Linked DNA regions of Oryzias latipes. The protein of the gene in region 1 purifies or fractionates together with the protein of each later gene. This does not show direct contact. Links are inferred from orthologs where the notes say so. Each region holds a gene or a part of one and is shown on either strand. Other genes may lie near its edges. The genes, in order: cdc123 and eif2s2.

Region 1 (4,454 bases):
TGAACTTACTGTCACTGTTGTTGTCGTTTCATCATCTGACCACTAGAAGGAAGGAGAAAGAAAAAGAAGAAGGTTTTAGCTGAACAATTAGTTGTTCTGCTCGGTTATCAAAGACTGGAGAGTTTCATTTTTGGTCTAAAGCCGAAGCGTGATCCCACCTGCACGTCCTCCTGGTCCTCTGAGTCGCTGTTGTCCGTGTGCCTCGGCTGCGTGTTCTGATCACTGACGGGAGAGGAAAGGCAAACGTTTGTGAAACACGTTTGAAGTCCCGCTCCCATCATCCTTAGATCCTTTTTCAAAGCGTTCCCAGTGCTCTTTCAATTCCAAGATCGTTTCCGCACAAGTTCATTGAGAAATTCCCTGCTGAGTTGTGGGTGGGACCATTGGCGTGGGAGGCAAGCCCGCCCCCCTTCCCCTCACCTTTGCTGAGACCCATTTAGCTTACAGCTCCTCAAACTCCCAAACTAACAATGGCGGCGCCACAAAAATGGCGAGCAATAGAGATCTATCCATCCTAACAGGTTTAAACTGAGACCAGGAAAACGGAGACGTCCGTGGATCCGTCTGTCTGGAAGATGCATCAGAATGGAGCGGAGCGGGGAGATGGCGGCCTGCTGATTGCGCCTACGTCACATCTAAGAGCTTTTTCCCCGATTCACAACGATCGGAATAAAGAAATGCTCAGAATATTAAGCCCAATTTTCTTTCTATGTGTCCATCATGATGAGAAAAATGCTACAAAACACCAAAAACACAATTTTCATCAGAGTGGGTCTCTGATGAATGAACCAACAATAAAACTGTGCTTAGATGAGCATTTGCTTCCACGTTCAGTAGACTTTGGACTAAAACAAACAAACCTTAAAACTATTATTAACTATTTTAGCACCAGATTGGATTATGACCTGCTGATTAAACACAACTAGGTTTAAAATTATTTACATGAATTCAAATTGGATTCAGAGGTTTACAATTCAAAATAATTCAAAAAAGACGAATATATTTTCATCCAAAACTGGTTTTTGGAAAAAGTTTTTCTATCGTTAGCTGTTTCAACTGAACAAAGATGTCATTTACAGAATTATCTTTTTTTTTCATAAAACACTAACTAAACTAAAGGCTGTTATTTTTGTTTTTTTACTGAAAGAACGTAAAAAAGGCGGAAATAATTTCATTGGATTTGATAAATTACATTCGCTTATTTATATTTTTACTGAAAATGAATCCAGAAAAAGCAGCTTTGGCCTTCTCAGGTTTAACTTATTTCTAATTTAAAGTGGAATGATACATTAATTTTTTTATCATTATCTTTTTTTTAATTATCAATTTTAATTGAAATTCTAGCTGGTGTAATATCATTCCATACAGACGTACATCCACATGCTAACATATGTTTCACTCAAGGGGCCGATCCTCATTTCAATGTAAAAAAACAACTTCCTTTTAGATCTTTTAGGAGGCTGCATGAAGCCATGAAGCCATGAAGAGAAAAGGATTCATCCCGTCCTTCATCTTCTTTCCACTCACATGGTAATAACCCTTTGCTGTTATTTTTGTTTCCTTTCACAAATCCTCAGACGAGAAAGAACAAGACGGAATTTGCAGAAATATACACAAGTCTAGTTATTGGTGAGAAACAAAGGCATATTCATTTTACATCTCCAAACCCCAAAGCGCCATCGCCGGGTCATTTTCACCCAAACATAACTATTTACATGAATTTCAGTATGTCGTGTGTGAAGGAGTCTGTGCCTTCCCCAGGGAAGTCTCACATGTCCCAGGAACGGCCGGACCAACGACAACATTTCTAGTATCTTTTGATTATTTTTAGGAATTTTTTTTGTTCTCAAATTCCCAGTTTTTCAGTAATTTTTGAGCACGTTTTTAGAAACTTCCTGTTTATCTTTTTCATGTTGCTGCAGATACCACCGTTGAAACAAAAGAAAACCACTCATTTTTTTCTGACAAGTCCTTTTGTTGGGTATATTATATCAGGAAAATAATTACCCAGCAAAAGCGGTGGTGTAACTTCTCATAGTGAAAGTGTTCTGGGGTTCAGGTCAATTGATTTTTCTGTTTACATTTTTGAATAATCTGATACTTTAGGAGATCAGAAAATTACTTGATTTTTGGTTTTCATAAGAAGAGAGTTTCAGTGAGTTTTCACATCAAAAATAAAAACATAATTGACCCTTTTTGTTCTTTACTATTTCAGAATGTGAGAAAAAGAGCATACAAAACAAATCTAGCAAGCAAAGTCACAAGCCCTGCAGATATGATTAAAAAAAACAAGATTAAACCAGTTAAAAGCCAAGACATCTACAAACTGGAAAAAAAAGAATAAATTATATAAAACCGGGTTCTTTTAAACTTCAGATTTCCCACTGCACCTAAACGCATCAGAGCAAATAAATTGTGTTGGATTTTTTTAATCTTACCTCCCAGAAACCACCAGCGTCCCATCGTCCAGTAAATAGTCGATTACATTCTGAGGCAATGGAAGAATTAAACTAGAAAACAGGCACAACATTCATTTGAATTAATATAATTTAAGGTGCAAATTGTAGGTGATAATATAGGGAAACTAGAATCATAAGTTCAACAATTGAACTAAAGAAATACAGACGCCAGCTTGACGTTTTGTTATGAAAGTGAACACTAGAACGGGTTTTTACAGTAGCACTAAGTGTAGTAGTTTTTAAAAAGTCACCTTTTTATCGTATGTTTTTTGAAAATCGGGTACCAAGCCGAAAACTGACAGTTAACAACCTGCTCCTTCTTCATGCTGTACAGGAAACGTCCGTCACTTAAAATCTTCCCACCCCTGACCTCAGTTCCGTGTTTCAATTTAAACAACACTACGCCACAGGCTGTTAACTTATTTCTATATGTGTTATTTAAAACGGGTTTAAAATCATAAAAAAATATTGACGGTATGTATTGTATGTATATTTGAGTTAATAGGAATTGTGTAAGAATTCTTGAGAGGGGACAGTCTTAGAAGGGACACGCCGGTCTGCAGTTCATATTCACGAAACGCAGGGCATAGATCGTTGATTGTAAAGACGTTTCACTTATTATTATTTTTGTTCCAAAAAACGTGGTACACATATGAATAATTACCAATTTATATTAAAGAACGTATAGCATATTATAATCACAAATTTAATACATTTTGGAAAAACAATAACAATAAAAATTGCTTTTCCACGACAACAGAAAGAGGTACGGAGTGAGCCGCCTTTTTATTTTTACTGTCTTCTCCCACTGGTTCCAGCTTTCACGTGAGTTTAGTTTCCAGATTTTCGGGTTTACTAAAATTTAAAACTCTTAGTCTTTGGGGATCTGGGGTCCCGAAAGCGTCTTGCTGTTGTTGCGCTGTCAGAACAGTTTGCACACGTTTTGTTGGCTTTTCTTTGGTTCTTGTTGTCTGTTAGCGCTGAGGTTGTGTGCTTGTAGCTTTGAGTTTTTGTGTGAGAGCTGGAGGAGCATCATGGCGCGATGTTTCTGAACTTTCTACCTTCTTATGTTCCCTCTTCAGTCGTCCAAACTGTAAAAATGAGTAATCCCGAAGAAACCAAAGGGACCACAACCCCACATGTCGTCAAAGAAGAGGTTGGTCTTTTGTTTGTTCCTGAAAAATGCATTTTGTTTGCTGCAGTTTCAAATATCTAACCACATTTTTTAACTTTGCTGAAGCTTTAAAGAGCTTTAAAGGTCTGTCACTTTCTGAAATCCCATTAAAATAAAATAAAGAATAAGTTTGCTAGTATTTTCAAGAGTTAATATGTCATGTTTAGTTGATCTTAAAGTATTTTATGTTTGTATTTTCACAGTTTAGGACAAGCTCAGTTAGAAACCCGTCTTTTTCTTTTGAATTTTACATAATTTTTATACATTTAATTTATAATAATAGACAAAATACATTTTATTTTATGCAAAACAAACTTATTAGAGTTATTTTTAGGAACAATGATGTTATAGTGATAATGTCAAAATATACTGATTATTTTACTTTAAAGTTAATTTTCTCCTGTTTAGGCCATCTGGGATTACCTTGTTGTGGTATTCTAAATCTAAGACAAAGGTTTCTGAAAGAATTAGTCCATTATAAACAGAATTATTGCTTTATTTTGCCTTAGAAAGATTAGTTTTTGTGGTTTAGATGTCTCCCACCCAAACAAACATGGATTGATTTTTACATCTGTAGGAACATTTTAAAGGTGAAAATTCTGTTTTTCACAAATTCTTGTGGCATAATTCTCATGATGAAGGACATAAATTATGAAAATTACAGTAAAAATGGCACTTTTGAGTATTTTTTTATTCAAATTATTGTGATTCAGGAGCATAAAAACAGCTACAGCCAGACACCAGCTCCATTCTGATGCATCCAGTCGTCGACGTCTAGATCCATGAAGCTCTTTGTTTTCCTGGTCAGAGCTGGAATCTGG
Region 2 (4,259 bases), on another chromosome or scaffold:
TTTCTCATGCTGGTAACCCTTTAATACTGGAAATGTCACCGGTGCCACCTAAAGAACATGTGCTCTCTGACATACCGTAACTCACTGACCATTCACTTCACACAATCACCGCGAATCAGCTGATTCTGACGCAGAGAAAGCGGCTTTTCATAGTGGCTACGCACTGATATGCAACACATTACTAATGCTAAGTGCTAAATAACTGTGCAAAGCCACTTTTTTCCAAGACAGAATCACCTGATTTATATCGGCTGGGAAAGCACGTCACTGCTGTAAAGTGTTGTAGATCTGCGGAAGGCTTTAGAATTAGCTTGAATTACCTTATGGTAATTGCATAAACGGACGAAGAGTTACAGTAGTTAGAATAGAATACTTTAGAATAGAAGGTTTTATTAATCCCAATATGGGGATTGTCAGAAAGAAGGCCAACACCGGAGTTTTAAAGGGTTAACTCAGCTGTAATAAACCACAAACTTTAGACTTACTGATGTATCTTCTTAACACATTTTCAATCTGTTTCTGTTGAAATCTGCCTTTGATCACCAGCTGATTATTTCCATCTATGGAGCCGCTGTTTACAGACAAAAACATTTGTTTTTAGAAAAACAGACATAAACTGTTTGTACCAAAAAAAAAAAAAATTACACTCAGTTTATGCTTTCCAGATACCTCGTTCCCAGCTCAGCCAGCAGAAAAGCGAGGAGATGTTTAGGCTGACGATGCAACCTGTGTTCAAAACGAATGACACGCCAGTTTTAGAGTTACGTGGGAAAAAATAAAAAAAATAAAAGGAGAGCGAAAAAATAAAATAAAAAAAGGAAAGTCGGATGCTAACAGTTTGCAGATGTCTGTGAAGTTGACAAAAGAGGTTTTTTTGGTTCCCACTCGGACCACTTGAGGAGGCTTCATCACAAACTTCCTCTTCTCTCCGGCCACCATGTCCGGGTTCTTTTCTCTCATGATGTTGAAGACTCTATTTAGGAGCTGAAAGAGACATGAGTTATAGGGTTGAATTAAAAACAGGGCAAGATCCTAACATTGTTACCAAAAAAAATTGTATTTTGAGGGGTTTGATGTTGTTAGATTATGCATTTGAGGATACGAATAGCAAGATTTGCAGAACACATCTGTACACTCTGGGTGATTTTTACCTCATCGTAGGTGTAATCCCTTTCTGAGCCTGCCCAGGCAGGTCCTGTAGAGGAGCTGAAAGAAATCCCATCACTGATCTTGCTCTCATCATCTTCCAGTGCTGCAGACAATATCAAAATCACAAACAGCTTCTTTATGTTCATGTGCCAAACAGGAATTGATGTCTACCTTCATCGTTTTCCAACAACTCTTTCCCTCCTTCATCAAAGTCACTTTTCTTTGGCTTCTTCTTTTTTGTTGGAAGAACCAAATCCAGGTCCTCCTCTTGCGCCTTTGTTTGTTCGCCTTCAATTTTTAATTCCTGGATTTTTAGAATTGAACAGAGAGTTGAATTAGAGAAACATGTAAAGATGCTGCAGAATATGGTACTGGTTGGAGAAAAAGAAAACTCACCTTTAATTCTTCTTCTAAATCATCGAACACTTTTTTAGGTTTCTTCTTCTTTTTCTTCTGGTTGGCAAAGTTCAGGTCATTCAAATCATCCGATGGTTCTAAAAGAAATTTAACTGATGTCAAGTAAGTAGCGTGCAGTGAAAATCTCAAGAACAATTCATAATAGTGCAGCTGTAAAGTCTAGTTCAGCTTGAAAACATTCATTTTGCCAACCTTTCTTCCTGCTTTCATCTTCTTCTAGATCCACTTCTTTCTCTTCAACCTCTGGCTCGACCTCCTTTGCTTCTCCCTCTTTCGCCTCTTCTCCTCCTGCGCCCTCTCCTCCTTCCTCATCCACCATGAAAGGCTTCTTCTTCTTCTTTTTCTTCTTGGTCATGTTAGGATCAAAAATCATCTACAAATGAAATGAGGGGGGGGGGGGGTAAAAAAAAGAAATCAGTCATGAGGCCGACATCATACCTACAAAAATTTGAAGTTTGACATGGAGAGTAATTGTAGTTAATGAAACCCGTTTAAAAATCGGACATGTTTGATCTGGGTTAAAACATGATTATTTTACCAGCATATCACATAGCAAGTTAAGCAGTTCAGGCAGGCTGCAGGACACAGAATAGTTATAAATACGTGACATCGGATTTCCTGTTATTTGTGCTCTCAGATTTCCATAATGGCAGAAGAGTTGTAGCAACTCTGTTATCTAAATTAGTTACATAATGTATTTAAACACAAAAGGTAGTTGTGTCATCGTCTGTTCTTCACAGAACAGTCGGAGTAGCTTGGGCTTGCTAACACAGAAGTGACTGTCGGTTAGCGTCGCGCGCTTCGCTAACTACTAGCTAACATTAACTTCTTTTTTGTATCAATTAACTGGTCTTTTCGACGTTGAAGGTTCCATAAGGGTGGATCTACTAGTAAATATTTAACAAAAAGCGGTGAGCTGGACATTTTCTTGTTTAATTCGTCTGTCTGGGCCGCTGTTAGCCCAGCTGCCACCATGTGAGAGTTGCCGCTGCCAAGGGGAATCGTGTGGAGCCAGGCCCCACCTCAACACCAATCGGCTCCTAAAGTTCCGCTAACTGCATCCCAAAAGTCACGGCACTGACAGCGAATAATGGTTGATAATCAAAGAAGACTCACCTCGTCTCCCGACATGTTTGCACAATGAAAAAACGATACAAATCACAGAACTTCTTATCCTTCGACCAGCCTCAGATCTCCGCGTAAAATTTCTTGCATCAGCGACGGACCACAGTGCGCAATCGCAAAGAGGAGGAATTTTGACGTCTTTTCTTTGCGACGGCGCATGACTCACGTCACCCAACTAGAAAGAATTAGCAACAATATTTGATGCAATACAAAACAAACTGTTGCAACTTTTTAAGGGAAATAAAAATGCTGTTCCATTAGTCAAAATGAATTAGTTTGTAGTCAAATTTTGTCATTTTTTTTACTGAAATTTTATTTTTTTCTATGTATATCGCAATTGAAGAATATTGTTAAAAACCAAATCATATGATATTCTCAATATTTTAGGAAAAATGTAAACAAACCATAAATGTTTTTTTATTTATTTTATTTTTAATAATTATTTTCTGATAATATTTGTGTTACGGGGTTGAAACAGTTGAAGATCGTGACAGGGTTGAAGGGACAAATATGGACCTATGTATAGTTTCTTAATCATGAAATTCAGTGTTAGGACTTTCCTTTATCTTTATGTATATAATGATAACTAATTAACCATAAGAAAATCAGACTCAAATTGAAGTATGACGTGTTTCAAAGCTGTGAGTGTGAAGGGTGGATATTTTCCCTTGGATTCCTTCTCTGCCACTCACACGAAACAGAAATTGTGTTCAGCCTGAAGCAGAATGGCAATTTCCATTGTAATAAATGATCATTTTTTAAAATACTTGCGTTATCAAACAATCAAAGTTCTTAAATCTCAACCTTGCCACAGTCTCTCAACCCCGTTGCACTAAAACACAACAGAGTGGAGTGTGACTGGGTTGAGATTTTTGCACAAAATGGCTGCTGCTTCATGTACTGAACATTATGAAGAGGTCATGAAGTTCAGATTTAACATACTTATTTAAAAGACTAAAACTACTTTGCAAGTAGAAGTTGTCCATTTTATTTACATGTTACGGGGTTGAATTACTGAGTTTGAAAATCAGTTTCACAGAAAAAATGACAAAAGATTAAAAAATAAATAAAGGCAAGAACTGGGCCCCCTTTGATGTCAAGTGATCCAAAAGATTCTAGTTGTTTTTTGTTGTTTTCTTTTTACATTTTTTTAATTCTTTATTAGAACCCTAATCCTAACCGTACAACAGAAATAAATAAAAAGGAAAATAATTAAAATGGAAATAAATAACATTAGAATTGTAGTTCACAATACTAGGGATTGTCATACATCATATGGTCTTCAATGAAAATGGACAGTTTTGTTGCATTTTTGTTTTTCATGAATTTCAGCAATTTAATATATAAACAGATCTCTTTATGAAACGTATTAAATAATAGTTCGGTTTTTCAAAAATCTTCTCTTATGAATGAAGACTTTCTCAGAAATTAAGTATTAAATGCCAAATCAAATCAATGATCTGCAGAAACTACTCCAAGTAATGAAGTATGTTTTGTAACTGAGTAGAAATAGGAAAAGGAAACTTTGAGGAGTACCAACAAATAAAAAAATCCTCCCTAAACCTGTT

The links.
Region 2: the proteins of cdc123 (region 1) and eif2s2 purify together in Homo sapiens (affinity purification with mass spectrometry; 4 studies listed by BioGRID and IntAct, counting the BioPlex papers as one, with this or other methods). This does not show direct contact. The link is inferred for Oryzias latipes from reciprocal best matches to the Homo sapiens genes CDC123 and EIF2S2.

What each region holds. Positions count from the first base shown.
Region 1 is NC_019881.2:2,947,272-2,951,725, forward strand, and holds the start of cdc123 (cell division cycle protein 123 homolog), read right to left. Parts: upstream 2,833-4,454; 5' UTR 2,785-2,832; coding exon 2,711-2,784; intron 2,511-2,710; coding exon 2,439-2,510; intron 223-2,438; coding exon 159-222; intron 43-158; coding exon 10-42; intron 1-9. Other genes in the region: nudt5 (ADP-sugar pyrophosphatase), read left to right, coding at 3,502-3,615. UniProt on the Homo sapiens protein: ATP-dependent protein-folding chaperone for the eIF2 complex. Binds to the gamma subunit of the eIF2 complex which allows the subunit to assemble with the alpha and beta subunits.
Region 2 is NC_019865.2:7,390,006-7,394,264, forward strand, and holds the start of eif2s2 (eukaryotic translation initiation factor 2 subunit 2), read right to left. Parts: upstream 2,814-4,259; 5' UTR 2,698-2,813; coding exon 2,683-2,697; intron 1,940-2,682; coding exon 1,759-1,939; intron 1,659-1,758; coding exon 1,546-1,658; intron 1,454-1,545; coding exon 1,321-1,453; intron 1,253-1,320; coding exon 1,152-1,252; intron 985-1,151; coding exon 836-984; intron 727-835; coding exon 670-726; intron 572-669; coding exon 486-571; intron 1-485.